Danio rerio: one gene and its partner. The protein of the gene in region 1 interacts with the protein of each later gene in a biochemical or structural test. Links are inferred from orthologs where the notes say so. Each region holds a gene or a part of one and is shown on either strand. Other genes may lie near its edges. The genes, in order: map3k2 and smyd3.

Region 1 (3,837 bases):
CTCGGTGTGATGTTTAGACCCAACTGTGATTAGCTAAACTCTCCCTCTCTATTTTTTTTTCTTTTGTTATTAATTCCGGAGGATTATAACACAATGAACAAAATTTTTCTCTGGTCTACCACCGAAAGCAGCACCTCCAAATCACATTCTGTTCAAAAAGTTTCTCTTTTAGCTTGCCATTGCTTTTTCGTTGGGTTTTGTCAAAGTAGAATCATTAGCATATTAGCATATACGGGGGAGGAGGCAGGGAGGGGTTTTGCGCTCGTGCATGTTGCGTTTAGTTTCACGTTCATTCGGATTTACTAAGAGAATGCGTGTGTAATTCGGCGTACGCAGTGTTTTATACATCAGATGTTTTTACTGCGTACGCGCATTTACAGCTTTGTGCGTACGCAATGTTTTAGTATGATTTCAACGCAAATCTTCGTACATGAGGCCCCAGCACTGCTCCAGAGGCACCAGCAGCTGCACTGGTACAGACAGAGGCTGCAGTACTAAGGACCGTCCATCTCTACAGGTACAGAGAGGGTTTTATTTCTTACCTTTTGTAAATGTTTGAAATTATGAATGTTTCTGCAGAAGACATGTCAATGTTTATTTTAATGCAAACAATTATTTTGTAATGTAAATATATGACTGTTTTAAGTATAATTTTGAGTGCTTAAATGTATATTTATGTATATAAATAAATAAATACCTGTTTAAATACATATGTTTGTGTGTTTTTGTTCCTCTGTGGGGGCACCACAGTAAAATTTCGCATAGGGCCCCCTTTTGGCCAGCAGCGGCCCTGACTGTTTCAAAGCAGCTTTACAAAAGATGCACATTATTGTATTACAATGAAATTAAGTTAAAGTTACAATCAAATATAAGTTATTATAAACAGACACTGTTAACCTGCAATCCTATAGAAAATAGGCTGCATGTACTATATTTGTTGGTTAGTTATTAACCTGTCAAGTGGACTGTCCAATGAAGGACAGCTGCCTGATGCTGAATTCTCAGGACTGCTCATTGACAAAGGGTCCAGCATCTTGAAAAGGTAAAACATGAAAAGATAAATCTGATTATGCTGTTGTTCAATTCACTCACATCAGCTAAAACCAAAGTGTTGTCAGACTAATTACCTGGTCCATGCTCTCTGGGATGAACTCGCCCTCACTGTTGATGCTGGTGAAAGAGCCGTTTCTGGCCACCTGCTGCAGAGCATCAGGAATATAACCTGGAGGAGGGGAGCTGCGATCTGTTGACTGAGAACCTGGAGAAGAAGAAGAAGAGATTGAGAAAAGTCAGAAAACTGTAAAAATAAAAAAATAAAAAAAAAATAATAATAATAATATTAATATAAATAATAATAATAATAATAATAATAATAATAATAATAATAATAAATATATATATATATTATATTTGTAATAACTGATTCTTTTATCTTTGTCATGATAACAGTAAAAAATATTTTGCTAGATATTTTATTAAGATACTAGTATTCAGCTTAGTGTCATTTAACGGCTTACGATAAAGAGTTACTAAAACTATTATGTTCAGAAATGTGTTGAAAATGTCTTTTCAGTAAATAGAAATGATATAAAATATATAAAGGGGGCTAATAATTCAAGAGAGCTAATAATTCTGACTTCAACTTTGTATATTCATAATTTATTTTGTGATTCTAGTTTGAGGCAACAAAAAACAAAAACAAATGTACTTTAATAATTAAAACAAAATGGACCAAAAGTAGTAGGAAGGGCATTGTTGAAAAAGAAAATGTTAAGCCTTTTGAGAGGAATACCATATTTGGATAAAAGATATAAAAAGATTTGAACTAAAGTTGTGGAGTTAACTTACACTAAAAAGACGAGATGAACGAAACGGGGGCCAACAAAACAAGGCGAACGAAATGAGGCGAATAAAGCAAAACGAACGAAACGAGACAAACAGAACAAGAAGAGAAGAACGGGACGAAACGACAATCGAAAAGAGACAAGACAAATGAGTTGAGACGAACAAAACAAGACAAACGAAATGAGACGAATAAAATTAATGATACGAACAAGATGAACAAAACGAGTTGAGACGAATGGAACGAGACAAACGAAACCAGACGAATGAAACCAGACGGATGACACAAACAAACCACAAAACAAATGAAACGGATGAACGAAACCAGACGAATGAAATGAACGAACAAAAAAACAAACGAAAGAGGTGAAATGAAGAGGCTCGTTTCCTTCGCCGTCTCGTTTCCTTCATCTCGTTTCCTTCGTCCCATTTTGTCTTGTAAATATCGCATTAATAACTTGTATGTTTCCTACAATGCTCAAAAGAACAACAAAAAAATAACTTAAATAAATAAAAATAAAAATCTACATTTTTTCAGAAAAGCACACATTATAAGCAATAAAAATAGAAAAATTACTGCAGCCAGGCTCTTTTTTTCTCTACACAATAAATATCTTGCACCTCAGAGTGTGCAGATGACACGCAATAACAAACACAGTCATTATCTGTCATGTTATGTGAAAAGACAATCCTGTGAGACAGTTCTGATAGGTAATTTAAGCAAATCATTTTGATGACAGGCTTTGACTCAGGCAACTGAAAATAACTAAAAGCACTACTTGGACAGTAATTGCTTCTCAAGGGGATTCTCGAGCTAATCTGAATGCAGAATGTGAGTGCTATTCTCTCACCATACATGTCAAAATCCCCAGCCGAGTTTTTTTTTTGACAGACACCAAGGTCATACTGTAATTTAACTGTGGTCCAAATTCATATATCTGAGTTTATAAGAGGGATAAAGCCAAAAGCCTTTGAATATTGTATTTTAAATATTTTTTTGAAGTGTTAACAGCAAGAATTCAAGAATCACAGTGCTTATGAAGAAAAAGAAAAAAGAAATAATTGGAAATAGGCCATTATTATGACCGCTATTGGTGTGCAATACAATGAAAAATTCTGTGTTTGTATATAATTGTTTACAGAAATGATTCATTATTATTAATATTAATATTAATAATAATAATATTAAATGATTAATTAATGCTTTTGAAATTTGTGAGTTTGTTCTAGCAAAACAGTAGTCTGTTTTAACACAACATATTTGTTCCTTCAATTAATTTGTTTACTATTATTAATTATTGAATTTATTAATATTTGAAACTCCAGAAAAGAACCTAATTGGAACAAGAAAATTAAAATCTTGTTTTATGTCAGTTTATAAGATCGCTAAAACTTTAAGACATATACTAATATATGAAAAGTAACTGATAATGGCAACTGTTGTTGTTTGAAGTAATAACAGCATTACTTCAAACAGCAAATTTGCTTTGACATTTTTGATTCGCGCAAGTGTTTCTGACCATGTGACTAGCACTTTTCAGGGTTAGTGAATCACCGAGAAGCCATGTAGGCTTGTTTTGACAGATATCCCCTTGAGATCCAATTTCTATCCTTTCTGGTTTTAAAACGAAATTTGCAATATTGTTCAATAAAGTTGGTCTACAGTTTAGTCCAGTTATTTTAGAAATTTACAAAGAAATTGTGTGCACTGACATATTTAAGATCTTATGCAAATTTAGGCATTTCCATCCAATGTTTTTTATTTAAAATACCAAATACCAAAACACGCACACACACACACAAACAAATATATATATATATATATATATATGTGAAACTTGACAACATCAGTTACAATAAGGTATATGCTGAAGCATGCTAATAGGAATTTTAATTTGCCAGTAACCTAGGTTAAGCACTTCCGGCGAACTGTATGCCAATGCAAAGATCTGCACGTTTAAGGTCTGTTTTTTTTTTTAAATCAGCGATCTCCAC
Region 2 (4,400 bases), on another chromosome or scaffold:
CTTAGTCAAGTACATTCAAAAATATGTTAGAATTGTATATTGTAATGTGTATACAGAATATATTGTACTGTGTAATGTAATATTACTATTTAGACGTATAGAGACTATATTAGCAGTAGATTATAAAAACATAACGAAACAAAACCTTTAGCAACATTTTAGCAATCTGATCAAATAAAACAAATTAAATAAAATATAAATGCATATGAGTAATATAAATTAAAAATAAGATTACGTAAATTTGTAATGAAATAAATAAATATATAATGTAGTCTATTGATTATGAAAAACTTAATATTATAACAAAATGTTAAAAAACATTTTAGCCTGTAATATTGTAAACAAATTAAAACAATTGAAACAAAATAAATACATATTACAGTAGTTAAATAAAATTGCTAAATGAATAAATATAGTAGTATATTGATATGAAAAACGTAATATTGTAACAAAACGTAAAAAAAAAAACACTTTAGCCCATTGTAAAAAAAAACAACTTCATAAATAGTCATAAAAATGTGTTAGAAAAGTATATTGTAATGTGAACATAAGTCAGAACTATTAGCCCCCGTTGGAATTTATTTTTAAAATATTTCCCGAGTTATGTTCAACAGAGAAAGGAAATTTTCACAGTATTTCCTAGAATTTTTTTCTTCTAGAGAAAAATCTTAATTGTTTTATTTTGGCTAGAATAAAAGCAGTTTTTAATTTTTTAAAAGTCCTTTTAAAGTCAAAATTATTAGCCCCTTTAAGCTTTTTTTTTCTAATAGTCTACAGAACAAACCATAGTTATATAATAACTTGACTAATTACCCTAACCGGCCTAGTTAGCCTAATTAACCTCGTAAAGCCTTTAAGTGTCCCTTTAAGCTGAATACTAGTATCTTGAAAAATATCTAGTCAAATGTTATTTACTGTCATCATGGCAAAGATAAAATAAATCAGTTATTAGAAATGAGTTATTAAAACTATTATTCAATTCAACTCAGTTCACCTTTATTTGTATAACGCTTTTACAATGTAGACTGTGTCAAAGCAGCTTCACAAAGAAGATTATAGTGAATTGAAACAGTGTAGTTCAGTTCAGTTTAGCTCAGTTCAGTCAGTGTGGTTAATAATCACTACTGAGAGTCCAAACACTGAAGAGCGAATTCATCTATGTGCAGCTCTACAGATCCTGAACCATGCAAGCCAGTGGCGACAGCGGCGAGGAAAAAACTTCACCAATTGGCGAAAGTGAAGAACTAAAAAAACCTTGAGAGAAACCAGGCTCAGTTGGGCACGACCATTTCTCCACTGGCCAAACGTCTTGTGCAGAGCTGCAGACTATTATGTTTAAAAATGTGTTGAAAAAATCTGCTCTTCGTTAAATAGAAAGTGGGGAAAAAATTAACAGAAGGTCTAATAATTCTGACTTTAACTGTATATATAGTGTAATGTTATATTACTATTAAAATATATAGAGAGGACATTAGCAGTAGATTATGAAAAATGTAATGTAACAATGTTTAGCAATATTTTAGCAATTTGATCAACTAAAAAGAATAAAAACAATAAAAAATACACATAATGTGTAATGTAAATTTAACAAACTAATTACGGAAATGTATAAATAAATAAATAAAAAATAAATAATATAGTAGTTTATTGACTATGAAAAACATAATATTGTAGCAAAACGCTCAAATCATTTTAGCCCAAAATATTGTGCAAAAATAAAAACAATCGAAACAAAATAAATACATATTAGAGTAATGTTAAAAAAAAAATAAGAATGCGTATAAATGAATAAATATAGTAGTATATTGATTACGAAAAATATAAAATTGTAACTAAATATTTTTTTAAAATGTTAGCCGGTTGAAAAAAAACAAAGCAAAATACGTTCAAAAACATGTTAGAATTGTATAGTGTAAGGTGGGTGTGTGTGTTATATATGTATTATATAGTGTAATGTTATATTACTATTAAGATATATAGACAGTATATTAATATTAGATTATGAAAAACATAATATAATGTAAAACGTTTAGCAACAATTTAGTGAGTCAAATTTTTGCTAAAATAAAAACAATTGAAACAAATAATGCATAAAGTAATGTAAATAAAAATCATTACGTAATTTGTAAATAAATAAATAAAAAATGGTAGTATATTGATCATGAAAAACTTATTTTAAGTAAAAATAATTTAACAAAACGTAAAAAAAAACATGTTAGCCTGTAATATTGTGCAAAAGTAAAAACAATTGAAACTCAATAAATACATATTAGAATAATTCAAAATAAAAAATGATTTGTAAATAAATAAATATTGTAGTATATTCATTATAAAAAAGGAATATTGTAACAAAACGTTAAATAAAATAGAAATTTACTAAATAAAAATACTTAATAGCAAAGCACAATCAAAAATGTGTTAGAATTGTATATTGTGGTCAACACATTGAAAAGTGTCCATATTAATGCATTCATATACGTACAGTGCAGTATATGCCTAACTTTTCTGAGCACCAAACACATTTAGACATTGACAAACCTGAGAATAAATCATTGACCGGCTGTAACTTAAAGTATAAATTGTATTCTAGCGATTTTTTTCTAACAAAACAAAAATTCAGAGCATAAAAATGTGGTCTTCTTACCTCTTGAGGCAACTTTGACAGGCAGTTTTCAGGAAATCTCTTGCTACGCAGAACGCAAACGGCTTGCATGAATAAATCACCTCACCGGGTTTAATTTCACGCAGAGCACGCAAACCATTGCCTTTACCTTCACTTATAAACCTCTCCATAATCACAGCCTCCATCATTTCATAAAAATATCATCTGCAGTGACCGTCCATGTGTTTGTTCACGGTACATATGAACGCTCTGTTTGTATTTATGACAGTCAACTTTACGCGCCATTACGCAGCTTCTTTAAAACAATCTCATGCTCAAAAAAAGAATGTTTTCACTGAACAACTTGGTTTATTAAGATGGCGTCTACATATATATGAGCGTTTCGTGACAAAATGAATCATAATTGCACCTGTAAATCAAATAAAACAATGATAACATATTTCAAAATGCGTATAAATGACGCAGTTTTGATTTGCATGAAGATGTTTAGACGTCGCGGAGACATGACGTAGATTGTGCGCCTCACCAATGGGATTGCGCAAACTGCAGGTCAACAGCACGCGGAGCTCAATGTCACGGACTCGCGTGTTACGCAGCTTCAATGTGCTACATTAATGTAGATCCCGCGGACAAAAACTGCATCATTTGAGGTTAGTTTGGGTTAAAATAGTGTAAATGTGTAGTCAGCAGTCAGCCATGTCAAATGTTTATTTGAGCAGAGGAGCCTAATAGTTACGTATTCTGCTAACTGTAATGGTGTATCGTCTGATGTAGACAGGATTATAGTCATATCAAGGTTTAAGATGATGTTCAGTGTCGTCAAAAATGTGCTCATCACATTTATGTGCAATAATATAAGATATTAATGTTGAAATGTTACTTGGAGAGAACTTTGGAAATTTTTGTTAAATAATGATGCATAACAGAGTTCCCACAGTCATTTACACCCAGGGAATGTATAATATATATATTTAGTGTTCAGTTATAGAATATTTTATCTGCGGGATACTGTTTTTTTTTTGTAATTGCAGTTTTTATAAACTATAATTTAAGTACATTTTAATCCTTATGTACTGTTGAGGATGTTTTCATCCACTCTATGGCCATAACTTTCTGTTTTGGCTAGTAAAATGATTTTTGGTGACATCTTGTTTTGAGAAAATGCTTTTAATTATTTATTTATTTTTAAATAAGCATTGTACTCTGGGCAAATTTAGTACACAATTACATTTTATATTAGAAATAAGTAATTTTGTCTGTTTTTTTTTCACCAGATCAGTGACGTCATTTATGAATTTGGCAAGAAGAGTTAAAATCCTGTAATATTCTAAGCAATATAGTGGTGGGCTTGATCAGGACTGAGGTTTATTAACAGATTTATGCAAAAAAAAAAAAAAAAATCCCAAACATAACAAAAGGGTAGTAAATTCAATTTGGATAAAGAAGGCGTGTATATATTTGTTAGGTTGACAATTTTAAATAAATTAATTTTATATATGTAATATAAATACTACTGAGCGAAATTAAAACTACAAAGTTAGACATCTTAGACTTTTTTTTTTTAGAGGACATATATAATATTACAGATTAATTGAAGAGATGTTACTGTGAACTTTTTAGGGCTCAAAAAAATGAAAATATGATGTTAAGCAGGGGCCACAAAACTTTAAAGAGGGAAACGGTTCGTCATTGAAAATAATAAAAAGAAGAAGCTGAAGAACAACAACTATTGTTATCTATTGTGTACCAATAATAATTTATCATAATTGAGCCACTA

Evidence for each region.
Region 2: the proteins of map3k2 (region 1) and smyd3 are reported together in a solved structure, tested with the Homo sapiens proteins (2 studies listed by BioGRID and IntAct, with this or other methods). The link is inferred for Danio rerio from reciprocal best matches to the Homo sapiens genes MAP3K2 and SMYD3.

What each region holds. Positions count from the first base shown.
Region 1 is NC_133181.1:10,478,928-10,482,764, forward strand, and holds part of map3k2 (mitogen-activated protein kinase kinase kinase 2), read right to left. Parts: intron 1,259-3,837; coding exon 1,128-1,258; intron 1,034-1,127; coding exon 954-1,033; intron 1-953. UniProt on the Homo sapiens protein: Component of a protein kinase signal transduction cascade. Regulates the JNK and ERK5 pathways by phosphorylating and activating MAP2K5 and MAP2K7. Plays a role in caveolae kiss-and-run dynamics.
Region 2 is NC_133192.1:13,256,506-13,260,905, forward strand, and holds the start of smyd3 (histone-lysine N-methyltransferase SMYD3), read right to left. Parts: upstream 2,866-4,400; 5' UTR 2,812-2,865; coding exon of another isoform or gene 2,809-2,811; coding exon 2,645-2,808; intron 1-2,644. UniProt on the Homo sapiens protein: Histone methyltransferase. Specifically methylates 'Lys-4' of histone H3, inducing di- and tri-methylation, but not monomethylation. Also methylates 'Lys-5' of histone H4.